Linked DNA regions of Mus musculus. The protein of the gene in region 1 interacts with the protein of each later gene in a pairwise test. Links are inferred from orthologs where the notes say so. Each region holds a gene or a part of one and is shown in the gene's direction. Other genes may lie near its edges. The genes, in order: Tfip11, Cfap206, Bysl, Ccdc42, Snw1, Cox5b and Ccnd3.

Region 1 (4,342 bases):
CGACCTCCACACTGGCTCTCCCACACCACCATGCCTCTTCCCTTCTTCGTTCTCCTCCCGGCAGCTATGAGTTACAACTTGCCTGCCGTTCCCGCCCCCACCCCCAACCCTGGCCCCACTGCCCGCCCTCAGCTCTCTGTATCAGTTCTTAGATGCTTTCATTCACGTGACCATAAAACCCCAAGAAGGGACCCTGATCCCACAGTATCACATTGGCTCTGACGGACTCCCCAAGAGCCTCACTAACAAATCCTCCTGCATGTTTTTTGGTTAGGTTTTATTGCTGTATTGTAAAGACCATACCCAAGAGCAATTTGGGAAGGAAACTGATTTATTTGCTTTACAGATTACAGTCCAAAGACATTTTTAAAAAGAACTGAAGTAGAAGCCACGGAGGGAACGCTGCTTATTGGCTTGCTCCCTGTGCTTACAGCACCCAGGACCACAGGGGGAGGCCCCACCCACAATGGGCTGGGCCGTCCCACATCAATCATGAATCAAGCAAACGACACCAGTCTTGCCTACAGGCCATCCGATGGAAGCACCGAGTCCTTTTCCTAGATATCTCTAGTGTGTATCAAGCTGACAGGGGAAAACAAAAATAAGTCCAGCCAACAACAAAACCCACCAGGACCCAGCCTTTTAGGGTATTAGAGAAAACAAATTAGTTTCAGAACCAGAGATGGCACCAGACTATGTATAGATTTGTAAGATGTGTAAAAAGATGACATATGCTCTTTGTGGGTCGCGTTGGCACACGCCTTTAAGGCCAGCACTCAGGAGGCAGAGGCAGGCAGATCTCCCGAGTTCGAGGCTAACCTGGTCTACACAATGAGTTCCAGGACAGTCAGGGCTACACAGAGAAACCCTGTCTTTCTTTCTTTCTTTTTTTTGGGGGTGGGGGGTTTCGAGACAGGGTTTCTCTGTGTAGCCCTGGTTGTCCTGGAACTCACTTTGTATGTAGACCAGGCTGGCCTCGAACTCAGAAATCCACCTGTCTCTGCCTCCTAAGTGCTGGGATTAAAGGCGTGCGCCACCACGGCAGGATGAGAAACCCTGTCTTGAAAATTCACAAAACCAAAACCAAATCAAACCAACAAGAAACCCCAACTCCGTTCTTTCCCAGCGACAGAGAAATAACTAGAGCAAAGAGGAGAACAATAAAACTGCTTCCTGGAGAGAACTCGACATGGGGTCGCGAGGACATTTTAATCTCTCAGTGTCCTCGTGACGCTGGTAACGCCAAGTAAGACTCCAGTGCCTGGCGACGGCTCGCCCTGGAACGAGACGGCCACTCAGCCTCAGTTCCGATGGGAACCAGAAGCAGCGCGAGGCGGGATCACCGGCCCTTCCGGGTTGCAGACACGCCCCCTCCGGCGTGAAGTCGCTGCCGGGGCAACAGCGCGCCACTTCCGCCTCTGAGCGATGACGTATTTCCGATGCGCCGGTAAAGGCCACATCCGGGTTTGGGCTGGCGGGACCCTCGCAGATTCGGGGACGCTGGGCGAAGGCTGTGTGGCTCTCGCGGATGCTGAGCGAGGTGAGCAGGCGGCGGGGTGGCGTCCCGGGAGCGCGGGCTGAGGCTCCGAGGCTCCGTGACGACGGCTTTACGGTTTCCCTGCGCTCCGGGCCCGCTGCTGACATTGAGCTGAGCGTCTCCTGTCCCCTGTGCTGGGGAGGTGGCGGTGCTGTAATTGAGTGGGCCTAGGGCTTCCTGCTCCTTTGAGGAAACTCAACATGTGCTGGTTGCTGGGGTCGGAACCTGTTGAGTTTCGCCGGTGCATAGTGAGGAGGAGGAGGAGGAGGAGCAGCGGGGGGGGGGGGGAGCTGTTAGTCACCGCGGAGCCGTTTTCACGCTGTCAGTCACTGGTGTCACATAGTGAGGATGTTACTGTGCAATGCACACAGTGTCGGGTCGGGACCTTTGAATGTGATAACCACACTCACAGGTGTTCATAGAGGCGCGATTTAGACTCAGGCTGGGGTGTTAAGTGTTAATGATTTTCACAATCATTTTGAAGGATTCACTTCGCAGTCCTGACTTGTAATGAGTGTGAACCTGAAACCCGATCATGGAGTGGAAGAAGATGCTTTTTTTTTTTTTTCCTTTTTCCTCCCTTTCCCCCCGTTTCTGTTTTTTGTTTGTTTGTTTGTTTTGTTTTTTGTTTTTGTTTTCAAGACAGAATTTCTCTTTAGCAGCCAGCCCTGGCTGCCCTGGAATTTGCTTTGTAGACCAGGCTGGCTTTGAACTCAGACCCCCCTGGTCTCTGCCTCCCTACTGCTAGAGTCAAAGATGTAAGGGTGCTGTTTCTTGAGCACCTACTGGGAGCGGAGCTTTCGTTGTTGTTTTGTCGGTTTTGAGACCAGGCTGGCTTTGAACTTAGAGAGATGGATCTGCCTCTCTGCCTCCAAAGTGTTGGAGCTTTTGTTTTTCGAAAGTATCATCTTAATCAGTCCTTACAAGCTTCTCCTGGAACTGAATGAATGCAGTTATGAGAGAGAGAGATGAATAGCTACCTGGGTAGAACACTGTTTTTTCCCTACCCTCTAGGAGTGACTGCAAAGTGGCATTCAGAAAGACTGCAACCTTCCAGTACCGTAGAAGCCGTTCAGGGAAGGAAACCTTCAGTCCCGTGGAAATAGTATTTCAGAAAATGCTCTGAAGTTTCCCTGGAACTGCAAATTGGCTAGATACAACTTTTCCTGGAGAAGTAAAAAGACCAACCTGGTTTCTGAGGTAATAACATTTAGAGCTGTTGCTTCCTTTCTGTGGCATATGTGCCTGTCATTCTGTGGCCCCGCCCCACGCGTGCATGGTGATTGACTCTGACAAGGCATTGTGCGTTAGGCCCCCTTCGGATGGCTGGGTCTGACTTGTCTCACTTGTCACGGAGCTGGTCATTTTGCCCTTTGTTTAATGGCTGCTTTACTGAGTTGGATCATGAGGCTCATTAATAGCTTTTTGACACTGGCGGATCTTCTGCTAGCCCCAGGTTCTCACAGTGCTGTTCTTGTCACCGTCCTCTAGTGACTGGCCATGTCTCTGTCCCACTTGTACCGGGATGGCGAAGGCCACCTTGATGATGACGATGACGATGAGAGGGAGAACTTTGAGATCACCGACTGGGATCTCCAGAATGAGTTCAACCCCAACCGGCAGCGCCATTGGCAGACCAAAGAGGAGGCCACCTACGGGGTGTGGGCGGAGCGAGACTCGGACGAGGAGAGGCCCAGCTTTGGAGGCAAAAGGTACTGTGTGCTGGGCTGCATGCCCTGGGTCTGGAGGATCGGGAAGGCATCCCAGAAGAGTTTTCTGCCCTTGTAGAGTCCGGGTGCTACAGCATCTTGCTATGTGTTGTTGAGCTGGGGTGGCGAGCTCCCCCTCAGCAGTTACTGTGTGATGGGATCAGGGCTACTTATGGATAGGGAAGTGCTGACCCACCACAGGCATGGCAGCTGTGGGGCCATGCTGTGTCAGGGAGCACTCACAGGGCACTAGAGAACAGGGAGTTTAGAGAGGGTGCTCTGGAGAAAACGCTGTTGGACCAAACGGAGGTAGAAAAGTGAGTAGGTCCACAGGGGAGAGTGGTAGTACAGCCTGGGGTCCACATTAAGATGCTGTCTCAAGTCTCCCCACCTAACTACACTCAGAATGTTTTGATTAATTTTACTTAGGATTTTTATCTGTTTGAGTTGTTCTGACTTTTATCCTTGAAATAGTATCTAAAACAAACACTGTGTGTGTGTGTGTGTGTGTGTGTGTGTGTGTGTGTGTGTTTACAGGCATGCTAGATAAGTGCTGTACCACTCTAAAGCAAAGCAGACACTAAGCTAACACAGTCTTTTCAGTTGTAAAAGGGGGCCCAGTTTGATGCCTCGGAGGTTGTTGCCATGCACACCTGGCTAGCTGGGTTCAGTCACCAGATTCCTACAGGGAAGGGGAAAGGGACGAGATGCTCTACAAATTGTCTGCACAGAGCAATAATGGCATTTTTGAAAGCGTCCAAAGGAAGTAAGATTATTACATCCTAGTCTGAATTTATACTCAACCCTACTGACAGTGGCAAATCTTCAGTTATAGTTTGAATCGAACAGACCCCACGAGTGTAAAATGTGGGCTGGAAGAGGACCCAGGAGCAATTGAGATTGAACTCAATTGCTATTGCAGACCTGAGTGTGGCTCCCAGCCAGTGCCCACCTCAGGCAGCTCACAAGTGCCTCTAATTCCATCTTCAGGGAATCGAGCCTTTGGCTCATCGGGCACCCACAGTGTCATGTGGTTAGGCCCCCCCCCCATATAATATTTTTTAAATGTTAAATGTAAGATTATTGAGGGCCTCTC
Region 2 (3,674 bases), on another chromosome or scaffold:
AAACATTCTCAGTTGCTTTTGTGGTGAAATTATAGATATGAATGCTGCATTGTTGAATTGTGATTGAGAGATTTCACTAAGTTACAAGAATTGTTCTGGTGGTCAAGGTGGTCTCCAGTCACAGCATGACACAGGAAGATAAAAGAATAATAAATTATATATTTGTTGCCTAGGGGTGTTTTGTTTTGTTTTTGGTCAGCTTAACATAAGCTAGGGTCACCTAAGAGGGAAACCTCATTTGAGGAAAAGGCTCCATCATGTTTGCCCGTAGGCAAGTCCGTGGGGCGTTTTCTTGATGAGTGATTGATGTGGGAGGGCCCAGCCCATTGTGGTAGGTTGCACCACTGTTGGGCTGAGCCAACCCCAGTGAGCATGCCAGTAAGCAACATTCCACTATGTCCTCTGCCCCATTCCTGCGGCTAGCTTCCTGCCCTGACTTCCCTCAATGATGGGGAAAACTGTGATGTCTGAATCAACCCTTTCCTTCCAAGTTGCTTTTGGTAATTGGTGTTTATAGAGCAATAGAAACCCTTACTAAGACAATGCGATATTGTATTATCAGTAATATTACTCAGAAGACATTTACTAGGACTGAGACAAGTATAACTCAAGAAGAGTATATAGACTTCATATGTAATACTGCGCCACATGTCTTTACACATTTATGCACGTTTACACATATGCTTTGACAGAATATTCTATTGAATTTCTGTATTTAGACTTCTTGCTGCCCTCTGTTTTCATTCACCATTATGCCTTAAGAGTCAGGGTTTGGGGATTTAGTTCAGTGGGGCTCAATCCCTGCACTCAAGGGAAGGTGGCAGGGAGTTTTGTTTTCATGAACTTGACATACACGAACCTGTTTTTCCTGAGCCCTTATCTGAGGTGGATTTTAAGTATTGAAGATGCAAAATAGTGTTATTTGCTCATTTTAGAGGACTTTCTTGAAGAACATCACCGGGTCTTAGAATCCAGGTTAGGCATTGTTAGCAGAGAAATCACAGACAACAGAGCAAGTGCTAGGGAAGAGCTGGAAAATCTCTACAGAAAGATCGTCAGCTACGTGCTCCTGCGCTCTGGGCTTGGATCCCCCACAGACATCAAGATTGTCAGAGAGGCAACAGGTAAAAACTAGAAATGATTTCCATTCCATAAGCAGACCTATATGCCCACTGTATTCACGTGTATAGTTTGTGCATGTGTATCCATACCTTTGCGTGGATGGGGGCTTGTGTGCAAGTGTGTGTGTGTGTGTGTGTGTGTGTGTGTGTGTGTGTGTGTGTGTGCCAGAGGTTGACCCTGAGAATCTTCCTCCGTATGTCTACTTTATTTACCAAGCCAGGGTCCCTCACTGAACCCAGAACTCTCCATTCCAGTTCTGGCCAGTCTAGCTCAACAGCTTGCCCCAGGATCTCCAGTCTTCCCTCTATAACACTGAAATTTCATAGGAAGGCACTGCACTGGCTCAGTATTGGTTTCCATGGCTCCTGGGGATACAGACTGTGGTCATCACACTTGTGTGGCAAGCAAGCCCCTTACCCACGGAGCCATCTCCTTAGTCCTGGCCATTGCATTTTATAAAATTGTTAAAGATTGAAGGAAAATCAGCACAAATAAGTAGTTCAAACTCACCCAGGTTTCTAGAACTATTTGAGTACATATGAAGGTCTGGGAAGTAGAAGGGCACGGGTAAATCAGGGGTTCAAAGCCACCCCGAGCTATGTACTGAGTATGAGGCCAGCCTGATTCCACAGGACTCCTTCCCTCCCAAAATAAAACCAATATGTAGTGGGGGGGGGGGGGTATTAAACAAGGTATTCGGCCTTCCTATTACAGTTTTCCATTATTATTTTAAAGAATAGATTTATCTACTCAGAGCCTTAATTAGAAAGATTATTTTTGCCAATTGATGAATTAATAAGGACAGAAACATGGGGTAACAACATTATTTTCAGTAGCTCAGACCTGGTATTTGGTAACCTTTGCTATGCATGCTACAGAAGGCATCATAAGTATAAATTGTGTAGGTAACACTAGAAAGACGCATCCCTCGACTTTGTACAGAGAGAGCGAGGCTTTAAACCTGAGTTCTGCCAGCTTTGTCCCACCAGCACGTTGCGGTCCATTGAGGTGTTTCTCTCCTGTGTTCTGCTTCAGCCGCTCTGCAGAGCGTTTTCCCTCAGGCTGAGCTCGCCACGTTTCTGACCCTCAGTAAGAAGGACAAAGAGCGCCAGTTGAAAGAGCTCACCATGATTGTTACCGGAATTCGCTTATTTAACAGAGACTGTGGAAAAGGAGGAGAAGGCATTGATGATTGTAAGTGCATCTGTAGGCTGCTCCTCACTCAAGGTTCTGCATGCTTAAGGCGCCACTTCACAGTGTAGCGGGCACCACACCCCGCCGCCTAAACGTACAACTGCTCTTCATCCCGTGAGGTAGTCCTCGCTTTCCTGAGGCAAAACTTAACATTTTTGGTACCATGGAGCTAATGTCGGGGAACTGAGTCAGTCGCTGGAATGAGGGCTCAGCCCAGAATCCAGATTTGGAACGCTGTGCCAGCCAAGGGGAGGAAAACTAGTTTAAAAGCAAAGATCACCTATGGTGCTGTGTATTTAATGCGATGAAAAAGCCAAAGAGGGCCGGGCGTGGTGGCACACACCTTTAATCCCAGCACTTGGGAGGCAGAGGCAGGCAGATTTCTGAGTTCGAGGCCAGCCTGGTCTACAAAATGAGTTCCAGAACAGCCAGGGCTACACAGAGAAACCCTGTCTTGAAAAAACAAAAACAAACAAACAAACAAAAAGCCAAAGAGGAGACATGCCAAGATCTGCAGAGTCAGAAACGACTCCTGTGCTGGCCCTTACACAATGCTTTGTTGTTTGTTTATTTTTAGTTTTTAGGCAGGACCTCACTGTGTAACCTTGAACAGTCTGGAACTTGCTGTGTAAACCAGGCTTGCCTCAGATTCACAGAGATCCACCTGCCTCGCCTCGGCCTCCCAAATGCTGGGATGAAAGGCACTCACCACCACACCCACAGTGCATCCTTTAAGTTTGCAAATACTTAGAAAGTATCTAATAAAGGACCTAATGGTAAGTCGTTTCATGTGAACTTTACACTAATGCAGACCCGTTGAGAAGGCATTACTGCCTTTATCTAGATCACTACATCAACACCAACAGCAGGGTCAGCCAGTCAGCCACCCTGCCTGTCTTTTCTCCTGCCTTCCTAACTTTTGGGGGCTGGGAAACCACAAGTTACACCTCCAACCCTATGAGGGTTTTGTTTGTTTTTATTTTTAAAAGTTATCATAAAAATTCAAGTACCAGGGTTAGAAAGCTGGCTCAGTATTTGCTACTCTTAAAGAGGATTCGAGGTTCTGTTCCCAGCACCCACATGGTGGCTCACAACCAGGCCATGGCACTGGAACATGGGATCCAGCACCCTCTTCTGGCCTCTATGGGTATTGCACACACATGCTGCACAGGTCTATATATAATGTAAAAATTACAAAAACCAATTTCCCACCAGTCAGAGAGGGCCTTCCCTTGCTAGACTGCTCTGTCTATTTTTCGAGTCCAGATAAAGTTTATACATATGTTTTAAATCTGCTTTTACGAAAGGCATGCTCAGTGGTTCTTCTAAAGGAACATGCCAAATACAGGACATGGCAC
Region 3 (3,674 bases), on another chromosome or scaffold:
ATGCCATCTTCTGATGTCATTAGACACCAGGCACACTTGTGCACAGACATACGTGCAGTCAGCACTCAAACATTAAAAGTAAAATAAACCTAAAACAAACAACCTTGGCTCTCACTGGGTATGCTCTGTGTACTCTCTGGAGCTCTATATAATATACCCTTAGTCCACTTCCATAGCAACTGATCTGTTGCTATGGTAATAATTCAACTACTTTGGTTTATTAGACTCTTTCCCAACTGCCTTGCCAGCTATGTGCGGTATTTCAAAAGTCAGCCCGGTGTATTGGCACATGACTTTAATCCCAGCACTCAGGAAGTACCCAGCCAAGACTCCATGGTCAGGACCTCAGGATGTGGCAGGAATGGCTCAACCCACCTATCACCCAAGTGAGGACACAGAGACCTCTTATTAGTTATGAAAGCTTGGCCTTAGCTGCCTTGTTCCGAACTCGCTGATACAACATAATTGCTTTATACTAGTCTACATTCAACCACGGGGCTCGTTACTGCTCTTCAGTAACAGCACGTGTTTCTTCCTCTGTGTCTGGCTGTTGAGTCCCCTCACATCTGATTTCTTTCCCAGAGTTCCTATCTCTGCCCAGAAGTCCCGCCTATCCTTTCCAGCCCTGCTATGGGCCACTCAGCTTTTGATTAAACCAATCAGAAGGTGATGGAGAAGAAGTTTCCACAACACTGAGACAGGTGATGCTTCATTAAAAAAAAAAACCAATGCCGACTGTACTCAGCTCTCTGCTGGAACAAAGATTAACATGTGAATAGTACACAGGCAGCCTTTACATGGAACACACGGGATTAACCCAACATCAGAAGCTCAGCCTTCAGCACTGTGGTGCGTGTTTGGAAAGTGGAGGCGCGAGAACAAGGAACTCCCAAGTCATCCTCGACTACCTAAGCCAGTAACTTAAATGTGTTGGTTGATCAGAGTCCGAATGCCACTGCCCAGCCTTAGAGCCTTCCAGGTTGGCTTTCCGTTTCCTTTCTGGCTCCTTAGTGCCCAACACTCTAACAGCATTACTTTCCAGGACGTGGAGCATGCTCTTGCTCCCAGACTGCCCATCCAGAGCCTCCTCAGCCTCTGTACTCATCCAAGTGCCTGAGGTGCACACTGCCTCCACCATGGTTTTAGTTTCAGCACATGATGCAGTTCCACTGTGCAAGCAACATAGTGGGAAGTCAGGACCCACAGTGCCTACCTACTGTGGGCACATCAACTCTTCTGCCCCGGTTTGAACTGGGTATAGCAACAGTACCTATTCCTTGAGGTCATCTGGACAGACCAGGTTACATGTGTGTAGTATAGAATGGATCCTTCTTGGTCATTGAGGGGGGACATGTCATCCATTCACTGAGGGGACATGTCATCCAGTCTTTACTGGCCTTATCATCTCTCGCTTCGTGTGCTGTATTTTCTATCAAGATTCCAAGTCTCTGGGGACAAAAGGATAGTCCCTCTGCAGGTGTCCCTCCTGCTCCCTGGGTGTGCTGTACGTGGAATGGGGAACTGACTCACAAGCCCCTGCGGCTGGGATTATCTTGTAGGGCCGGGATTGCCACAGGATGGATCAGATGAGGAGGATGAGGAGTGGCCTACCCTGGAGAAGGCAGCCAAAATGGCCGGGGTGGACCACCAGGCAGAGGTGATCGTGGACCCTGAAGATGAGCGTGCCATTGAAATGTTCATGAACAAGAATCCTCCCGTGAGGTAAGGCTTAAAGGTTGGACCAGTGGGTCCTGGTAGAAAGTTCATCCAGACCACAGCTGTTGGTCTGACCATTGCCAAGAGTGGCCCCTGAACGGGAGTGACCCGGATTCCCCTTTGCCCATCTGATCTGGAACCTCTGGATTACCGGTTCCTTGTGATAGCTGGGGATCCGTTTAGTAGTGTTTATTCTTGGTACGTTACTCTCATAGCTTAGTCTTATTTTTTTTTAAGATTAATTTATTTATGTATGTGAGTACACTGTAGCTGTACAAATGGTTATGAGCCATCATATGGTTGTTGGGAATTGAATTTTAGGACTTCTACTCATTCTGGCCAACCCCACTCGCTCTGGCCCAAAGATTTATTTACTATACATAAGTACACTGTAGCTGGCTTCAGACGCACCAGAAGAGGGCACCAAATCTCATTACGGGTGGGTGTGAGCCACCATGTGGCTGCTGGGATTTGAACCCAGCATCTTCGGAAGAGCAGTCAGTGCTCTTACCTGCTGAGCCATCTCGCCAGCCCATAGCTTAGTCTTTAACTCAGGGTTTTCCATCTCAGTTACAGTGTTGGGGCCAATAGCAGCTATCTCTGACAAAATGTTCCCAGAGGGGTTAAAACTACCTCTGGGTAGAACCACAAACGTACCCCCATGTGTTATAAATGCTACTTCTAAACATGCAGTTATTTAGGCTGCCTGTGGTCAGATTCTTGGTTCCATTCAGATGGATCTGGCCTCATTGAGAGGACTGGGCTTAGGGCAAAGGGGCTCAACCAGTTTATTCTTCAGAGTGGGGTGTAGTACACCACTATCATTAATAGTACGGTGATGAGCAGCTTGGGTTCAGAGAACACAGGAGAACCCTGTCCCCTGAAGGTGTCTGACAGCTCTGAGAATGGTCATGGGGTGTGATGTGCCCCCCAAAGGCTCTCGGGCAGCACCTCATACCCAGTGGCTCTTGATCTGACAAACTTAGCAGAATGTTTTCTGCAGTTGCTATACGGAAGTGACAACATGGTGGAAAGGGGGACCGTGGGCACTCTTGAGCAGTGGCTGCTGGCATCTTCAGAAACCAGGCTAAGGGTCTTTGGGAACACAGCAATCAGGCCTTGTCACTTAAGGCACATTGAAGACGCTGCGAAGCACCCAAACTAGAAGTCGAAAGACTAAAATTTACCCTTTCCCTGAGAAAGTCTTAGGGCTTAGGAGAGTTGTTGGTTGGCCCTGAGTCTCGATTCCCCGGCCTGGGCAGTGCGGGGGAATAAAAGCACCTGCCACCAGTGTCATGCAGACCACAGGACACAAGTCTGGAAAGTGTCAGATTCAGTGCTGCTCGGCACAGAAAAAGACTGCAGAGAAACTTTTTCCCCTTGTGCTGGAAGCCAGAACCCAGGTCTCATCCTTGCTAGGCAAGTGCTGGGTGAGTAGGATAGGCTGGCCTTGAACTCACAAAACTCTGCCTGCCGCTGCCTTCTGAGCGCTGGGATGAAAGGTGTGCACCAGCGCTGCCTGGCACAGAGCTCCACTCTGCACTCAGAAGTTGCTCCCCGTTGTGTGAGCAGTGGGAGGTGAGCTTGAAGTAAACAGCCCTCAGGACCTGCTGGCTCTGGCTGAGAGTCGGGCCTGCTGCAGTCTTAGATTTTACCCTTCAGCTGACTGTCCAGGGGGGTCCTTTTACTTCCCCAGTTTACAGATGAGGAAACTGAGGCTTAGAGGAGTCAAGTGACGGGCCCAGGATCATACAAGGACCAGAAGAGCCGGAGCTGACTTCAGGGCCTAAGGGCCTAACGTCCCCACCACTCTGGCTCTGCGTCAGATGCAGAGACATCCAGGGCCCGTGCTCTGCAGCACTTTGAGGCGGCTAAATGGACATAGAGGGGAACTGAGGCTGTGCATCCCAGCGGGATCGAGATTTGTCAGCGTCCAGGGGAATTATACATTGCTCGCT
Region 4 (4,370 bases), on another chromosome or scaffold:
AGCATCATCAAGGCAGGGGCATGGCAGAGCCCAGGCAGGCAAGGTGCAGGAGGAGCTGAGAGTTCTACATCTTCATCTGCAGGCTGCTAGAAGACTGGCTTCCAGGTAGCTAGGACAAGGGTATTAAAGCCCATGTCCAAGGTGACACACCTACTCCAATAAGGTCACACTTCCTAATAGTGACACTTTCTACCCCAAGCATATACAAACCATCACACAAATTAACTGGATAAAGAACACACACACACACCTTTTGTGAAACTTAGAAATAATTTGCCTTATTGTCATTTTGCTGGGTCTATATCTGGAGTTGGGATTAGGGATTTACGGTGGGCTGGGGGTGATGAGGGGATAGATGGGTGAGATCAGAGTGGGTGGGCTTTTTTCTGTACCTTGAGGAGAGACCAAAGGTGAAACACGAGCAGGACACTCTCTTCCTCACAACAGGGATTTGGAGAGCTAGAGGAAGCAGCATGCCAGGTGACCCACAATTTAGCCTGCAAGCTCTGTCCTTGGCTCCAGCCAGAGACCCCCAGCAATCCTACCTCAGCCCGCTGGGAGGAAGGGCAGGGAGGGGTCAGCACCCAGGGCCTAGTGCCAGCAGAGGTCACTATAGTGCTGTTTCACCCAGGGACCCAACCGTACACAGCTTTAACCTCAAGTCAAATAAGTATTTAAATATGCATGTGTCCTCTGGAATGGAGGAAGGCAGCCATAAGAGGTAAACCATTTAAACAAGGGACCTATTCCATTACCCACCACACCTGCACTTATAGCTCAAAAGAGTATTTTATCTGTACTTAATAAACTCCGTCTTATAATAAAGGGACCTTGCCTTGCCTTGGTCCCTTTCCAAGCGGCCAGGAGCTGTATGCCCCTACATCTCTTTGGCCCACTACTTTGTTCTAATGCGTCTCATCATTTCCCCACTTTTCACACTTCTCTGTCCACCTCTCCCTGTCCCTGGTCGTCTCTCTGCTGCTTTTGCTCTTTACCATCCATCTGCCACCCAATCTCGTCTTCCCCCTCACCTAACCCTAGGAAAGAGGTGCCCGGGAGTCAGCTTCACAGATCGGACTCCTCTGTCAGGCTTTCATTCTCTGTGGCAAATGGTCATACCCTGCCTCCCTACCCGGTAAAGGAGCAACTGGTAACGTAATCAGAGTTCCTGAAAGGTGCCCTCGGGAACAGAGAGGCCACCTCAAGTGAGTGAGGTTAGCCGGGCAGTGGTGATATACACCTTTCCTCACAGCACTCAGGCAGCAGAGGCAGGCAGATTTCTGAGTCCAAGGCCAGCCTGGTCTACAGAGTGATTTCCAGGACAGCCAGGATTACACAAAGAAACCCTATCTTGAAAACAAAACAAAGAGAGAGGTGGGTGGGGAGTTAGTGGGTTCATAGGTTAGAGGGCAAACCGTGGGTGCCTCAGAACCAGGCAGCTTGTTGCTAGGTAACCAGATCTCCTATCACCGCAAGAGCACAACATACTAAAGCAGCCTCTAGCTGGTTTCTGCTGTGTCTCTCAGCTACCCACTCTCTGTGGGACTTTGAAAGCAGCAGGAGGAGAGGAGACCGAGAATCCAGCCACTAACCCCTGAGTGCCCTGTGGCACTGTCACTCACCATTTCACTTTGAAAAGTAGGCCACCGGGGCTGTTAGGTAGCTGCCACCATGAGTTTGGGCATGATGGAAGAGGAGGACTTGGCCGAATACTTCCGGCTACAGTATGGGGAGCGGCTGCTTCAACTGCTGCAGTAAGTGCTTGGTATATAGCCTGTCTGTCTCGCCTCTGAGCTTGGGACCACTCTTACCCTCATGATGATGCTCTGCTGCCAGGTCTTTCCTCTCCTACAGCCCAGTGCTCCTAATTGCCTTACCCCATGACCCAACTCCACCCTGACTCTGGGCCCCCATCACTCAATCGCCCCCAAAAAGCCCTCGTAGATCTCTCTCTTCTCACACAGCTCCTTTCATTAAGGTGAGAGTGGAGACCTCTTTTCCTTCCCATGGGCATCCATCTCTGAGGTGCTCCCTACCCGATCCTGCTCCTGCCTCTCAGAGGGTCCTGTTCCCTTTTCGTTGTTCTCGGGCAGGAAGTTCCCAAATGTTGAGGAGCAGTCAGACTCCCCATCTATCCAGCTCCTGGAGAAGAAGAAAGAGGCCAAGATCATGCAGGAGGCCATGGAACATAAGAAGGAGGTGAGGTGGGGAGTTGGGGGTGATAAGGGTAGGGGTTCAGGGTAGGGAATGGATTGGCTGAGGCTCGAGGTTAATGGATGGTGGGCCCTCGCTTTGGGGGTAGGGTGGCTACAACTGGTTCTGGACTCTTTCCTCCACAAAGAACAGAAAGGGTCTGAGTCTTGGGGGAACTAGGGTCATGGGATACTATACTAGGATCTCTGTACAGGATAGAGAGTGCAAACTACAAGTCCTTCTGTAACTACGTTTCATTTGAAGAGTTGGGGATTTAACTCCTAGCGACTTCTTTTCCACTGAGCTACATCATCAGCGTTCCAAGAGCCCCCCAGGCTAAAGGATAAAAAAACACTTTGGGCAAATGATGTTAGACTCTTTCTGAGAGCCCATGTCAGGTGGCTGGCTCTCTGACTTTCACCTTCTCACATGCCCTACAGGCATTCCAACGGAGAATGGAAACGCTGAACTTGCGCTGGGAAGAACTAGGTATTAAGGAAGAGCAGCTGAAGGCCCATATCCAGAAGTTCGAGCAATTCATCCAGGTATGAAGTGGGGTGACCTGCAGAAGGCAGAGACTTTACACTGCACTGGGCCAGGTGGTTCTTCCCCTCTACTTGACTTTGTGGGCTCCCCACGCTCCCGACCTCCGGGATTAAAGGTGTCTTCCCTGGTCCAGGAGTGCCTGATCTTTCCCAGGCATCTTCTATATTCTATCTACCTCTATCTGAGATGTCCCGTTTACCTGCCAGTCTCTTCTCTCTACTTGACCCTTTCCTGTTTCCTTGCCAGTACCCAGGTGGCTGGGTGGACGAGTGGATCTGATGGATACAGAAGTGAGTCAGGGGCTTGGTCACTCCCTCACTGTATCCCTCCCTCTTTGTCCTTGCATTGAAAGCAAGGGACAGATGAAGGCAGGAAACCATTGCAATGAAGGACCATGAAACAAAAAGACTAGTAAGAGACTCAAGAATCTTGACCTTGGGTTAGGGAGTTAAGCAATGCCCCCTTTCTTCCTTCTAAGATCTCAGTGATCTGGAGGAACCAATGAGTACAAATGGGTAGTGATAAGCAGGAGCAAGAATGTGTGCGAAAGTGTGCTAAAGCAGCCACACTGGAAGATTTGTACAGCGCGGATGATGGCTTCCATGCTTACATAGATGTCGCCTCTCCCCTAGTTCTTCCCCACCTATAGGGAAGCTGGAGCTGAACTCTATTCCATTAACTTGAAGGGTTCTGACAAAGGGCCCAGTGGTGTGGCGCCTCCAGCCCTGGGACCCACCTCAGAATTCTCCACCACCTTCTCCAGGTACTTGTTCTCCAGGTACACTCTAACGCCTCCCAGAGACACTAGGGACACACGCAACTAAGGCACACTTGCATCCAACTGGTTGGAAGGAGTGGCTGAGGACTCAAGTGAGGGTCCCCTGGTCCTTCCCCACCCCTTACAATGAGGGAGCACCAACAGTCAGCCAGCCCAGCTGTGATGGATCTTCTGTGGCTGGGCCCTAGAGATGACAGCAGTTTGGCTCAGAGGATGGCCCTCTTCATCAGTACTTAGAGGAATGATTTGAGCTGGCAAGATGGCTCCGTAGGTGAAAGCACTTACCGCCAATGCTGAGAGCCTGAGCTAGACCCCCTGGGACGTACTTGCATGTTAGAAAAAAAAGAGAATTGACTCCCCCCGAGTTTTCCTCTGATCTCTGGGCGTGCACTGAAGCATGTTCACAGGCATACACGTGCATACACAAAAATAAATAACAATGTAAACAAAACAAAAGCCTCACTCAGACTTGTTGGCCAGCAATGCTCCAGGACCAGCAGTAGAGAAGTCCTGAGGAGTTGGGAGCTGTTGCAAGGAGGGCTCACTGCTGCCCTCTCCTGGAGGAACCCTACTTGTAAGGTCCCTCATTCTATGCACAACTGGGCAGAGCAGGGATGTCAGTGTTCTGAGATACAGTCCTCCTGGACCAGAGCAAAGTTGATGGAGTATTGAAGAGGACAGGAAGTCTGAGAGTGAAGGACTCTCCAAATGACTTCCAGGAAGTCAGAAGCTGTGGAATCTCATGGTACTCTTCACAAATACAGACGCTGGTAACTTCTTCCTTCTTCTGCCTCTAGCAGGTCTCAGGTTGAGACCAGACACCTATAGGTGTTTAAAAACTTTCTAGGTGATT
Region 5 (4,375 bases), on another chromosome or scaffold:
TAGCCTCAAACTCAGAAATCCACCTGTCTCTGCCTCCCAAGTGCTGGGATTAAAGGTGTGCACCACCACTGCCCAGCCAGATCTACTCTCTTAATTGTGTTGTAGTAAAATTGCTGTTCTCTATATAACCATGGGATGATTAGGGATCATCAGGGTACAAGCACCCCAAACGATATGTCTCTGTGGAAAATGAGAATTGACTGTCAGAATACATATCCATCCCTTTCTTTCAATCCTACATCCTAGGTTTTGGGCTATGCCTTTCTGATTTCCCACATTCATTATTTTAACATTGCCCTCAGTAGCCTCTTTAGTCTCTCATTACCATAGAAAACCAGTGTGTGGCAAGAAGAGTCCTTTTGTTTGTTTGGCGTGGTGATTTACTTATGCTTAGTGCAAGGTGTGGTACTCTCAGGAGGTATGGCATTGTTGGAGGAGGTTTGCCACTGTGGATGTAGGACTTTGAAGAGATCTATATCTACTCAAGCTCTGCCCAGAGTGAGACAAGCAGTCTCTCCTTACTGCCTTCAAATTGGCTTGCTGAACTCTCAGCTCCTTCTCCAGCACTATGTCTGCCTGGATGCTGCTATAATGATAATGAACTGAACCCCTGAAAATTTAAGCCAGCTACAAGTGATATTTTCCTTTATAAAAGTTGCCTCAGTCATGGCATCTTTTCACAGTAATGGGTACACTAAGACAGTTTGGTTTTAGTCTTTTGAGACAGGGTTTCTTTGTGTAGTCTTGGCCATCCTAGAACTAGCTCTGTAGACCAGACTGGCTTTGAACTCACAGTGATCTACCTCTGGGATTAAAGGCATGTGCCTCAACTGCTGGACTAAGAACTGTCTTTCTTGAGCTGCATTCAGTGGCAAAGACCTTTGATCCTAACACTTAGGAGGCAGTGTCAAGCTGATGTCAGATCATGACCAGCTTGGTCTATAGGAAAAGTTCCAAGGCAGCCAGGACTACACAGAAAAACCCTATCTCAGAAAGAAATAATTGTCTTTCTTACCTGTCTCAGTCCTACTTCAGCTCCAAATTATCAGCTGAACTAAATCTACGCTCATTGATCTTAATTTCTAGCATCTTCTTTATTTGCCACACCCCACACTGTTTTTTAAATAATTCATTCGTGAAGCAAAATTTAAAGTAGATGACTGTTAACACAACGATTAACTATATGCACGGAGGGTGGCTTATAGTGGGGGATCAGCCAGACTTTGCATCCTATTCAAAACTCTTAAGCAGTACTATGTGTAGCGGCCTTAAAGCAGAGTTGGATAATAGTATTAGCGTCCCAAAATAAGGCTTTATATCATATTTTGTATTATCACTACTGACATGTTAAACAGAGACCCTGTAGCCTGTAAAATCTACAGAAGTAAGGAATTTCGTATGCTAAGGTAGTTGTTGCTAACGCACTTTCAACAGACTGGCTGTCACAAGTCTCTCTCAAAGAACTACAAGGCCCAGAGGGCCGTTCGGTCAGAGCGCCTGCGCAGTGAGCATTTTTCCATTGTGTTCCTCGTTCCCGGGCAAGACTCGCCCGGCGACGTTGTGGCCTGCGCAGGAAGAAGCGGAAGAAGATGGCGCTCACCAGGTGGGTTGTTGATTTGGGTCCTCGATACGGAAGGGTCTGGAGTACACATCTTTTCCTTTCTGCCCGTACTGTTCGGGCTGTGACCTGGCCTGAGGCGCAGAAGTAACTTAGTCAAAACCGTGGCTGGAACCTCTCTCGGGCTTCCTCCGCGACTAGGCCGCGCCGAAGCCGGGGTCTTTCCTTCGGGGCTTCCCGGGTTGAGTTCGCCCCCCCCTGTTCCGAGAGCCCTGACATGGCCTCGCCGCGAGGACCTCACATGTGCTTCGCGTAAGCGGCGCGGTAGATTGACGAGCGCCTTGTGGACTGCGGGCTGAGATGGTTGCACTGCGAAGCCGCGGCTTATTTAACCCCGCTAAGCAAAGCTCGCCCGTCTCGTGGGAGGCTTTCCAGCCGCTTGTATGTTTTGTGCTTCTCATTTTCTCCTGCTACTCTCTCTCTCCCGAAACAAAGATTTTTGCAAAAAAAAAAAAAAAAACAAAACAAAAAAACAAAGAGTTGGGAACGTCCGAGAACCGACCAAGTTTTTTTTTAATTGACAGCAGTAGGGGCTGCTGTTGACTAAATGCGCGCCGCTCCACCTTTTAACTTTGGATCTTAGAATTTCTTTTGTACATAGAACCACCTCCGGCTTTTGCTGTTCCTGGTTGCCCTGGTTACTGTATGTAAAGTGTTTCCAACCTTTAAGGAAAAGAAAATGCTAAGTGGGAGACTTCCAAAAAGTTATGTAACTCCCAACTGCTGTAAGTGGAAAAACTTTCCATGCAAACTCAGCTGGAAAAGTCTGATTTTAAAGAAGGTATTCACTTTAGGGCCTTGGATTGTACCTGTTAAACCCACTTCTCATATTTTTTCCTGGCTCATAACAATATGAATCCTAAGAATATTTTGGTTATATGAATTAAGGTTTGTTGTCCTGCTTTGCCCTAGAGGTAGTATATGTAGAATGAAAAAAAAATTTTTTTTAAACCGGGAAGATGGACAAGTGGGTACACGGATGAAAATAGTGCAGGCGGGAGGATCTCAGAGTTCCAAGGCCAATCAGGTCTGTATAGGTAGTTTAAGGCCAGGATTTAAAAACAAAAACAGAATAACACTGACCTGGTTAGCTTTAACTGTCTGCTTAACACCTGGTCAAAAGATATCAGGTGAAAAAATTGCCTAGAACAGATTGGCTTATGGACATGTCTGGAAAGGATTGTTTTTCTTGCTAAGAGATGCAGGAAGATCCAAACCACTAATGGCTGCTCCATTCCCTAGGCGGGATATCCTGAACAGTATAAGCTAGATGAGTATAAGCCACTCTGCCAACCAGCAAGCAGCTTACATGGTGCCTAGCCTGCCTGCCTGCTTGCCTCCCTCCTTCCTTCTCTGCAAGAAAGCAAGTCCCTCTTGCTCTTGATTGTCTGTGGGATTTCACTAGCTGCCTTGACATCTCTCGTGGGTTTTAACCTGGAATTAAAAGCCAAATGTACTGGCTGGGTTTGTGTGTCAATTTGACACAAGCTCAATTTATCACACAGATAGGAGCCTCACTTAAGGAAATGCCTCCACGAGATCCAGCTGTAAGGCACTTACTCAATTAGTGATCAAAGGCGGGAGGGCCCAGCCAATTGTGGGTTGTGTCATCCCTGGGCTGGTAGTTCTGGGTTTTATAAGAAAGCGAACTGAGCAAGCCAGGGGAAGCAATCCAGAAAGCAGCAGCCTCCATGGGTACTGCATGAGCTCCTACCTCCAAGTTCCTGCCCTGTGCGAGTCCCTTTCCTTACTTTCTTTGGTGATAAACAGCATTGTGTAAGTGTAAGCTCAATAAACCCTTTCCTCCCCCTACTTGCTTCTTGGTCATGATGTTTTGTGCAAGAATACATACAGTGACTAAGACATCAGATAAGCCCTTCCTCCTGTAAATTGTGTTTTGCCGCAGTTTTTTAACAACAGCCACAGAAATGAAACTGGAACCAACAGATGATGTACTGGTACATCAACAGATGTGTGGTCCTAGCCTCGGTACAGAAAAATAAGAGTGAGTTGTGCTGACTGAGTGTTTTAGATAGCAAATATTCGAGTCTTCTTCAGGCACTATGATACAGATTAGTAGGACCATGAGAGGGAAAGTAGAATTTGAAATGGATGCACACAAGAAGAACGCCAGAGGTATAATATGTCTTGAGTGCCTATCAGCAATGCTAAAAGGTGAAGTCTCAAAATGGTCGGGCTTGAGGACTACAAAGCTTTCATTTCTGTGTTTTTAAATGTTGTTTATAAAACTAGCAAATACGGACTGGGGAGGAATAGGTCAGTGGTTCAAAGCAGTGGCTGTTCTTGCAGAGGACCTGGTATGTTTCCCAGCACCCACATGGCAGCTCAGGTTGCTCTGTCTGGTAAATGAATAGTTAATCATAATGCAGAAAGTTGGATGGTATACACATGGTCTAGACAGCTTTAATCCCAAAACTGGGGAAGCAGCTGGATCTACACAGTGAGAGTCTGTCTGCTGACAATGAAAACAGAAAAACCAATAGGAAAGCACAGTAGCATAATGTGGAATTCCTCTATAATCTCATTACTCTAGAGGCTGAGGCTAGACAGGGACAAGTTCAAGACCAGCCTGGACTACCTAAATAGGCCTTGTTAAAAATTAGGAAGGCCACCAAACCCGGACACTATTGCATATGCCAGAAAGAGTTTGCTGAAGGGACCCTGTTATAGCTGTCTCATATGAGGCTATGCCAGTGCCTGGCAAATACAGAAGTGGATGCTCACAGTCATCTATTG
Region 6 (3,839 bases), on another chromosome or scaffold:
CAAAGTGTAAGCCCATCTTCACAGTCAAGAAATTTGGTGCCTCATTATAGGCTATTTTTTTTTCTTGGTTGAGGGCAGCCATGAAGACCAGGTTAGTTCCTCTGAAGGAATGTTCCACCAGACCCTTTTGAAAATAACCTACAAGGGGTAGGTGACAACACCCAGGAATTTAGTCCTTTGTAGTTTTCCTCAACTTGACCTTTTGTAGTCACAAGCTCTATAAACTATATTTTTGGTCCAAGCGGCAGGATTTACTAAAAGTCATTTGATATTATTATGTCAGGCCTCTGCAAGGTACTTAAGATTTCATCACTGGGACGCAATTAGGGAAGCATAGATACTGTATGCAGCCATAGTGTTTCAGGAATGTTCCACAACGAGAATAAATCGAAGAAGCCAGTGTTTGGAAATCTAGTGAACGCTCTGCCGTGAGTTGTCAGGCTTTACCTGTGTGCAACACTGAGCAATGGAGGACGTTTTCTGTCTAAATTAGAGACTTCTGGCCACGGTGCCTATTGTCATTTCCAGTTGCATTATTAACTTTCTTTCTGTCCCTCCTCCTCCTAGTATCCTCATCGTGGTGGAGTGGCCATCAGGAGGTATCCTACATCTATGCCTCCAAAGCCCTTCTGCACCGCACCCCCCGCACCCCCCTCATCCTTGTCCCTGGGGCCAACACCATCACCTCCCATAACATTACTATAGGAGGAAAACTGAGGACGGTGCAACAGCTTTAATCCCAGCAGAGGTAACCAGATCTCTGTGAGCTTTAGACCACCCTGATCTACATAGGGAGTTAAAGGTCAGCCAGGCTACATAGTGATACCGTGCTTAAAAAACAAAACAAAACAGAGTGGAGGAGGGAATTGAGGCTAAGACTGTGTGTGTGGGGGGGTGTACTGTCAATTTCTGACGGAGTGGGCCATTGCAACAATTTGGTAACAACTAAAGCTGTCTGCAGTCTCGAACCCGTGGCTAACAGGCATAACAAACACAACAGGCTTCCTGAGCTCACGCCCAAGGTTGTATGATTCGTGGTGGAAGCCCTTGACTGCGGGAACTTCGGCTTCCACAGCACCTCCACTACAAGAACTACTATGTGGCTGGGACACTGGGCGCGAACACTCAAGCGGACAGGTCATGAACCCGAAAGCCGCTAGCTGTCAGGGTGACTGACGCCACGCCCCGGAGGCGGCGGGAGTCTGCGCGGCCCACGAAGAGGCAGAACTGCGCATGTGCGGCGTCTACTTTTAGCGCTGCTTCGGCTGGTCGGGGCAGGAAGCGGAAGACTGACCGGGCGTTGTTAGACTCCCACCAACGGAAGTCCCGCCCATCTTGCTCAGCCTGTTCCCGGAAGTGCATCTGCTTGTCTCGGGCGAGATGGCTTCAAGGTTACTTCGCGGAGTGGGCGCTTTGGCGGCGCAGGCCCTGAGGGCCCACGGCCCCCGTGGCGCGGCCGTGACCCGCTCCATGGCTTCTGGAGGTACGTGACCAGCTGGGCGGGACAGGCCGGTGTCCATGGCCTCCGGCGTGGTTGGTGATGGGCGGTCGAGCGGGGTCGGCCATTAGCGTTCTCTCGAGCCCTGCTGACCACCTTAGGCTCCGGGAGCCGGCGCTCTGTCCGGTCTTGCTGTAATTTCGGCCGCCCACCCGATCGAACCCGCTTTCAAAGTGCCCTCACTGGAAGGTGCCGGGTGACCTTGGAACACAAGGACTTGGAGGGCTGAAAAAGCGCTGGACCAACATTCAAATCCCTTGCCCGCCACCAGCCAGTATACTCTCATGACTTGATTGTAGGGAAAGTCGACAACCAAGCTTCCGCGGTGGGAAGGGAAAAACGGTATGGCTTGGGAGTCATGCCTCAGTGGGCTTAGGGGACTGTGGGAATGGGTAGCTTGGGAACCCACCAAAGAAGCGGATAACGTCACCTTTCCCGTGTTGATCTTTTTATCGTGTATCCATCGTGGTCATATCAATTGCCGTAGCTCATTTTTCTTCTTCTAGGTGGTGTCCCCACTGATGAGGAGCAGGCTACTGGGCTGGAGAGGGAGATCATGATAGCAGCACAGAAGGGACTGGTAAGGAGAAATGCTGTGTCCTCTGGAGCCCTGGGGCTTGGATGGGATTAGAGGAGTTCCTGTCAGCCAGCGTCTGGTCCTGACAACCCAGCTTGTAGGAACGGCCCTTTTGCAGTGCAGTGGCAGGCGTTATCTGTCATAAATAGTCAACTCTTGTCTCTTTCAGGACCCATACAATATGCTACCTCCAAAGGCAGCTTCAGGCACCAAGGAAGACCCTAATCTAGTCCCGTCCATCAGCAACAAGAGAATAGTGGGCTGCATCTGTAAGCACTTTGTTTTTATTTTCTGGCCCATTTGTTTATAACCTGCCTCACAGAATGTCTATAAATTGCTTCAGATATGTGTGTATGATGGACTGTATGTGTGTAAAAATGTAAATATGTGTATACATTGTTGTAAGGGTTGTTGACTGTCTTAAGTCTCAGTATGCATGAGAAGTCACAGAAGGCAGATGACCCTGGAGCTGTAGTTACAAGCAAGGCTGTGAGCCACTTTGCTGTGGCTACTGGGAATTGAACTCAGGTCCTCTGGAAGAGCAGTCCATGCTTTTAATTGCTGAACTATCTTTCCAGCCCAGATTATTTACACACACACACACACGTATGTACATACATATGCCAGGTACTGTTTGTTTCAAGCACTAGGGATACACATGAGTACAGATCCTGTTTTGGAATTTTGCATAGGGACTGGAATTGTTAGAACCTACAGTGACCCCATACAAGGTTATCTTACTCACAGGTAAATGCATCCCCGCTTTTTCATTTGAAGGAGCGGAGCGTGAAGTGGTCTCCTAGTCAGTGGCAGTTTTGTTGCTGTGTCCGAAGTGTCTGTAGGAAAGAGGTGAATGCTGAAAGCCTCCCTCTGTACATGGACGCTGGATGACTGTCAACCGTCTTTCCCTTTCAGGTGAAGAGGACAACTGTACTGTCATCTGGTTTTGGCTGCACAAAGGCGAGAGTCAGCGATGCCCCAACTGTGGAACCCATTACAAGCTGGTGCCCCACCAAATGGCCCACTGAGCCCCTGTGTTATCTTTTCAGAATGTAAAGAAAAACTTCTCTCTAATAAAGATTAGCCATTGCACTGGCTCCTCCCATAGCTGGCTAGTCTTATGTCTATAGTCTTTTTTTTTTTAATATATATATATTGAGACCACCTATCTCTTAATACTAGTTTGGCATCCACTTAGAATGTAAAACCAGTATAGAATTGTTAGAATTTTATTTTTAAAAAATTTTAAACTTTTTGTTGTTGCTGTTATTTGTTTGCTTTTCGAGACAGGGTTTCTCTTTTCTCTGTGTAGCCTTGGCTGGCCTGGAACTCACTCTGTAGACCAGGCTTGCCTTGACTTCAGATTCTGAGTGCTGGGATTAAAAGTATCTGCCACCACAGCCTGGCTAAAAATTCTTTTAAATTTTAACTTTTATATAATGTAGAGGGGGCAAAAACCAAGGGGGATTGTTAGGGGCAAGAGCAGTGACAATATGCTGACCTTGCTCAGATCTTCATGGTTCCGTTTTGCCCTGCTAATGACTGAATAACTGGGCCATATGCTACAGAGACACTAACCCTGACGCAGGACTTAGGGGAAGGACGTTACAGAGCTCCAGCCCACTCTGTCCTCCAGTGAGAACTGTCACTGTGATCTCTGCACCTGTCAGTGGTTCCCTTTAAAAGGGAGAATGAAGAAAGAGAGACGCACTGAGCTGGACCCGGTCATGGAAGTCCCAGTCACTTGAGAGACTGCCGTGAGAC
Region 7 (4,374 bases), on another chromosome or scaffold:
CTTTCTTTCCCTCCTTTCCTCTTTCCTGCCTTCCTTATTACATCCTTTTTTCCCTTGATTTTTGTTTTTGAGACATAGTCTCATGATATTAGCTCCTCCTGACCTAGAACTCTTATTTAGACTAGGCTGGCTTTGAACTCAAAGAAATCTGCTTGCCTCTGTCTTCAAAGTGCTGGGATTAAAGGGGTGCTCTGTCATGCCTGTCTTCCTTCCTTCCTTCCTTCCTTCCTTCCTTCCTTCCTTCCTTGTTATTTGAGTCATCTGACATGGGTCTGGCTGGCCTGGAATTCTCCATGGGCTATTATCATTTGGTTTGCTTGGTTTTGTGATAAAATCTTATATAGCCCAGGCTGCTCCTGAACTCATTAGGAAGCAGACAGTGACCTTAATCTTCTGATCGTTTCTGGGTTCTGCAGTGCTGGGGATTGAGCCCTGGGCTCTGAGCATGCTAAGCAAGAGCTCTACCACCTGAGATATATCTGCAGCCCACCCCCTGCCACCGTGTGTGTGTGTGTGTGTGTGTGTGTGTGTGTGTGTGTGTGTGTGGAGAGAGAGAGAGAGAGAGAGAGAGAGACTCTAGGCAGGCCTTGAATTGTCTGTATAGTGGATAGTGGATCCTGGTGTTAAGCCAACACTTCCCTGGGTCTGAGATTACTGGCTTGCTCCACCACAGCCAGCACCAAATGGCTTTTTATATGCTGATTTTGACCAACACTGCTCACACCTCCGTTGGTGCAACGCAGTGTCCCATTCAGCAGACCTGAGAAACTGCATTTCTTCTTTTGCTTTTTATTTTCGTTGTGTATGTGCATGAAGGTGTGTGCGCACATGCTACATACAGCCTTGGTGTAGAAGTCAGAGGACAGCTTATGGGAGTTGCTCTCTTCTCTTCCATCATGTGGGTCCCAGGGATCACACTCAGGTTGCCAGACTTGATGCCAGGATAGTTTACCCTCTGAGCCATTGAATCGGACAGAAACTACATGCTCCCAGATGCTGCTGCAGATCTGCGCAATTCGTTAAAGTAGACGAGATTCTAAGTCAAGTTTCCCGACGGACCAACAATGAGATCTTTGCAGCTACTATTGTGCCTCAGTATCATGGTCTGCAAAATAAAGCCCAACTCGAGGCCATTCCTAGAAGCCACTTTAGGGTAGGAGTGACCCAACTATGTACAAAGTTATGACCACATTCCCTAGAGCAATGAAATATGACGTATACACGAAGGAATAACTTTTGGCGCCTAGTTCTTTCCTGGGTGGCTAGAATCGCGACGGGGCCCATTGATGGGGAAGAGGGCACCCTTCCAGAAAGTTCTCTCTACCCTCTTGGTCAGAAGGGACCCGAGGGCCCGGAAGCGTGCGGGCCGGAGCCCAGCGGACCAATGGGGCTGCGGGGAGGGAGGGAGGGTATAGCGCCCGCCAGCCCTTTCCGACTGCGGCCCCGCCCCTTAGAACGTTGTGACGTAGGAGCATTCCACGGTTGCTACATCGTCGCGAGGGGCGGGGCGCCTGTCAGGGAAGCGGTGCGCGCGGGTGGCGGGCGGGCTGGGGCTTCTCCGCACAGTGCCAGCGCCAGCGCCAGACCCGCCCGCACCCCGCGCTCTCCCTCACGCGCGTCGCTTCTCCTAGGACTCGCTAACCCGCACTCTTGCTCTCACCCGTGAGCCATCGCAGGATGGAGCTGCTGTGTTGCGAGGGCACCCGGCACGCGCCCCGGGCCGGGCCCGACCCGCGGCTGCTTGGGGACCAGCGTGTCCTGCAGAGTTTACTCCGCCTGGAGGAGCGCTACGTGCCGCGAGCCTCCTACTTCCAGTGCGTGCAAAAGGAGATCAAGCCGCACATGCGGAAGATGCTGGCATACTGGATGCTGGAGGTAAGGCCCGAACGGGTCCCCTCTCCTCACCCCACCCCCACCCCCGGCTCTGGGACAAATTGAACTTTCCCTGTCGGATCTTTGCGATCCCGACCACAATCTGCAAGATGCTTTGGCGGCCCAGACTACTGGGGCCTGGCCTTTTCACACAGGCGCCCTAAGCAGCTGCCTGCGTTCTGTCCCTTTCCTTTCCCCAATCCTGATCGGCTTCTTCTGTGATTTCCAGTCACTTGGCACTGTAACTAAACTTCACTTTGGGTCGGGAAAGCGGGCTAAGGGCCACTCTTTCCCCAGTGGCTTTCCTCGGTGTCTCCTGCTTCCTTCTTCACCCGGTGCTCTCTGGAGGGCGCGTTTGGAAAACCCTGGCCTCGGCCGCCTTAGCCCCAGAACTGGTTCCTGTGTCTATCGCGGGGTTCTGGCGGGGGAAACTGGTGGGTGGGGGTGGCGCAGGCTCGGTTCCGGTCCACAGGGAAATGAAAAGTGCGGGAGACCGCGGCAGGAGTTCCCTCCCTTCCCCCTGGGAGTGTGTGTGCAGTGGGTGGCGGTAATGAGGGTAAGGTCCCAATTCTCTCTAGGTGACCCTTCCGTCCCCCTTCCGCTCGCCGTGGGGGAGGGGAGTCTGGAATCCTTCGTGAGCATGGGCTTCTCTTTTACACCCCCTACTCCGGGGTGGGGAAGAGACCATGCAGAGGAAGTGGGGGGGTCACCTTGGGGAGGGCACATCCTCCTCGGTTATTGATACTTGTCGCTCTAAGTTTATCCCTTCTCGGTTTATTTTTTGCTTCGCATTCCACTCTCCCTCCACCCCCCACCCCCACTTCTCCACGCTGCCGTGTTTCACTTGGTCCTTCCCTAGCAATGACTCGTGCGCCCTCCCTCAGGTGTGTGAGGAGCAGCGCTGCGAGGAGGATGTCTTCCCTCTGGCTATGAACTACCTGGATCGCTACCTGTCCTGCGTCCCCACCCGAAAGGCGCAATTGCAGCTTCTAGGTACCGTCTGCCTGTTGCTGGCCTCCAAGCTGCGCGAAACCACGCCCCTGACTATTGAGAAGCTTTGCATCTATACGGACCAGGCTGTGGCTCCATGGCAGTTGCGGGTGCGTGCGGAATCCTCCCCCCCCCCCCCCGCCCCTCCACCAAACATACGATCGCCCTATGTACTAGTAAAAGAAAAGCCAAGCTCACTCCCTCACCCACCAACCCTCCCTTCGCCCCTGGCTGGTATTTTGGGACAAAGGCCTTGTAGTGTGGTCGTGGTGCTTCGGTTGCAAGCTTAAAACTAAATGAATCCCTTTCCTCTGGCCGCAGTGGGGTTCCACTCCTAACTCGCCCCCCCCCCCCCCAATAGCAACAAGTCCAATTGCGGGTCTATACACCAGTACTTTGCCTCTGGGTTTACACAGCCACCGTGAGTTATTTATTGGCAGCAGCAGGGCATGTCTGCACACCCCCACCGGAGTGGAATGTGCTTCACGTGGGGGAGGGGGCTGCCTTGCATGAGCCTTTATCCCCGTGTGGACTTTGTGATGGAAAAGCCTCCCGGAGCTGATTAAAGCCAGGCCCTGCTCGCTGGAAGGAAGCGCTGAGGTGTTTTCATCCCTTTCCCTCCTATCCCCGAAGACACCGCTCTTTTCTAAACCCTCCCTTTCTTGTCTTCCTTCTGAAAAACTCGAGCAGCTGCTCTGGGCCCGTGGAAGAGTTTCTCCCTTTGCTGCTCAGCCAAAGGCCAGAGCCGAGACAGACAGGGAGCTGAGCTGCAGCTGCTTCCGATGTGATAATGATGCCGGTCCCCTGGCCCTCCCACTCAGACCAAGGGCTTTCATAACCCTGTGGGGAGCTGCTGTCACTCCTGTGGTTTGGGAAGTGGCTCCTTGGGGCCTCTTGCTGGGAACTTGGGCTGGGCTCCTCCAGGCGGGGCAAAAAAAAAAAAAAAAAAAAAAAAAAATCGGTTGGGTTCTGCCCTGCCCCGGAGGAGTCTAGGGAGGAGGTGGATCTGCTTGGATCTGGAAGGGAGCTTGAACGTCATCTCCCACAGGGTCTGGGGGAGAGGGTGGGTGAGCTGGCACCTCCCTCCACCTTGTTCTGTGGCTGGCCAAGCCTTCTCTGACCCTGAGAGGAGTCTCTGGGCCCCATCTCCTAGGGAGGAGGGCAGCAGGCAGACTCCTGTGATTGGCTGGCTGGGAAGCTAGGGTACTGGGGCCCCTGACTGCTGTGAGTCGGGGAACTGGATTCCTCTTCCTGTCAAGCAGCTCTCACGGATGGGAGGCCTGAGTTGGGAATCCGGGAGGCCCCACAGCTCTTTGTGATGAATCTAGTTTCCAGAGCCAGGGAGCACGATGTTTTTGAGGGATTGAGGCTGGGAGGTAGGAGACTTACTCTTTGTGAAGAGATTAAGGGTGGTCTACATGGCTGTGTGTGAGGGGAGTTTTTCAGAATAGGCAAAGCCCTCCTTCTCCTGCTCGAGGCCCTGAGCTGAGAGTGGCCTGCGGTCAGAGTTGT

Evidence for each region.
Region 2: the proteins of Tfip11 (region 1) and Cfap206 interact in binary tests that used the Homo sapiens proteins (3 or more experiments, as listed by UniProt). The two-hybrid records come from large-scale screens. The link is inferred for Mus musculus from reciprocal best matches to the Homo sapiens genes TFIP11 and CFAP206.
Region 3: the proteins of Tfip11 (region 1) and Bysl interact in binary tests that used the Homo sapiens proteins (3 or more experiments, as listed by UniProt). The link is inferred for Mus musculus from reciprocal best matches to the Homo sapiens genes TFIP11 and BYSL.
Region 4: the proteins of Tfip11 (region 1) and Ccdc42 interact in binary tests that used the Homo sapiens proteins (3 or more experiments, as listed by UniProt). The two-hybrid records come from large-scale screens. The link is inferred for Mus musculus from reciprocal best matches to the Homo sapiens genes TFIP11 and CCDC42.
Region 5: the proteins of Tfip11 (region 1) and Snw1 interact in binary tests that used the Homo sapiens proteins (3 or more experiments, as listed by UniProt). The link is inferred for Mus musculus from reciprocal best matches to the Homo sapiens genes TFIP11 and SNW1.
Region 6: the proteins of Tfip11 (region 1) and Cox5b interact in binary tests that used the Homo sapiens proteins (3 or more experiments, as listed by UniProt). The two-hybrid records come from large-scale screens. The link is inferred for Mus musculus from reciprocal best matches to the Homo sapiens genes TFIP11 and COX5B.
Region 7: the proteins of Tfip11 (region 1) and Ccnd3 interact in binary tests that used the Homo sapiens proteins (3 or more experiments, as listed by UniProt). The two-hybrid records come from large-scale screens. The link is inferred for Mus musculus from reciprocal best matches to the Homo sapiens genes TFIP11 and CCND3.

The regions. Positions count from the first base shown.
Region 1 is NC_000071.6:112,324,934-112,329,275, forward strand, and holds the start of Tfip11 (tuftelin-interacting protein 11), read left to right. Parts: upstream 1-1,435; 5' UTR 1,436-1,540; intron 1,541-2,551; 5' UTR 2,552-2,737; intron 2,738-3,028; 5' UTR 3,029-3,037; coding exon 3,038-3,249; intron 3,250-4,342. UniProt on the Homo sapiens protein: Involved in pre-mRNA splicing, specifically in spliceosome disassembly during late-stage splicing events. Intron turnover seems to proceed through reactions in two lariat-intron associated complexes termed Intron Large (IL) and Intron Small (IS).
Region 2 is NC_000070.6:34,720,058-34,723,731, reverse strand, and holds part of Cfap206 (cilia- and flagella-associated protein 206), read left to right. Parts: intron 1-935; coding exon 936-1,124; intron 1,125-2,157; coding exon 2,158-2,316; intron 2,317-3,674. UniProt on the Homo sapiens protein: Essential for sperm motility and is involved in the regulation of the beating frequency of motile cilia on the epithelial cells of the respiratory tract. Required for the establishment of radial spokes in sperm flagella.
Region 3 is NC_000083.6:47,604,887-47,608,560, reverse strand, and holds part of Bysl (bystin), read left to right. Parts: intron 1-1,559; coding exon 1,560-1,722; intron 1,723-3,674. UniProt on the Homo sapiens protein: Required for processing of 20S pre-rRNA precursor and biogenesis of 40S ribosomal subunits. May be required for trophinin-dependent regulation of cell adhesion during implantation of human embryos.
Region 4 is NC_000077.6:68,585,544-68,589,913, forward strand, and holds the start of Ccdc42 (coiled-coil domain-containing protein 42), read left to right. Parts: upstream 1-1,493; 5' UTR 1,494-1,671; coding exon 1,672-1,754; intron 1,755-2,093; coding exon 2,094-2,199; intron 2,200-2,633; coding exon 2,634-2,738; intron 2,739-4,370. UniProt on the Homo sapiens protein: Essential for male fertility. Required for sperm development.
Region 5 is NC_000078.6:87,469,476-87,473,850, reverse strand, and holds the start of Snw1 (SNW domain-containing protein 1), read left to right. Parts: upstream 1-1,551; 5' UTR 1,552-1,589; coding exon 1,590-1,603; intron 1,604-4,375. UniProt on the Homo sapiens protein: Involved in pre-mRNA splicing as component of the spliceosome. As a component of the minor spliceosome, involved in the splicing of U12-type introns in pre-mRNAs.
Region 6 is NC_000067.6:36,690,207-36,694,045, forward strand, and holds Cox5b (cytochrome c oxidase subunit 5B, mitochondrial), read left to right. Parts: upstream 1-1,280; 5' UTR 1,281-1,380; coding exon 1,381-1,483; intron 1,484-2,004; coding exon 2,005-2,078; intron 2,079-2,244; coding exon 2,245-2,344; intron 2,345-2,990; coding exon 2,991-3,103; 3' UTR 3,104-3,182; downstream 3,183-3,839. UniProt on the Homo sapiens protein: Component of the cytochrome c oxidase, the last enzyme in the mitochondrial electron transport chain which drives oxidative phosphorylation.
Region 7 is NC_000083.6:47,591,978-47,596,351, forward strand, and holds the start of Ccnd3 (G1/S-specific cyclin-D3), read left to right. Parts: upstream 1-1,489; 5' UTR 1,490-1,677; coding exon 1,678-1,875; intron 1,876-2,318; exon of another isoform or gene 2,319-2,348; coding exon of another isoform or gene 2,349-2,402; exon of another isoform or gene 2,403-2,422; coding exon of another isoform or gene 2,423-2,428; intron 2,429-2,756; coding exon 2,757-2,972; intron 2,973-4,096; exon of another isoform or gene 4,097-4,238; intron 4,239-4,374. UniProt on the Homo sapiens protein: Regulatory component of the cyclin D3-CDK4 (DC) complex that phosphorylates and inhibits members of the retinoblastoma (RB) protein family including RB1 and regulates the cell-cycle during G(1)/S transition.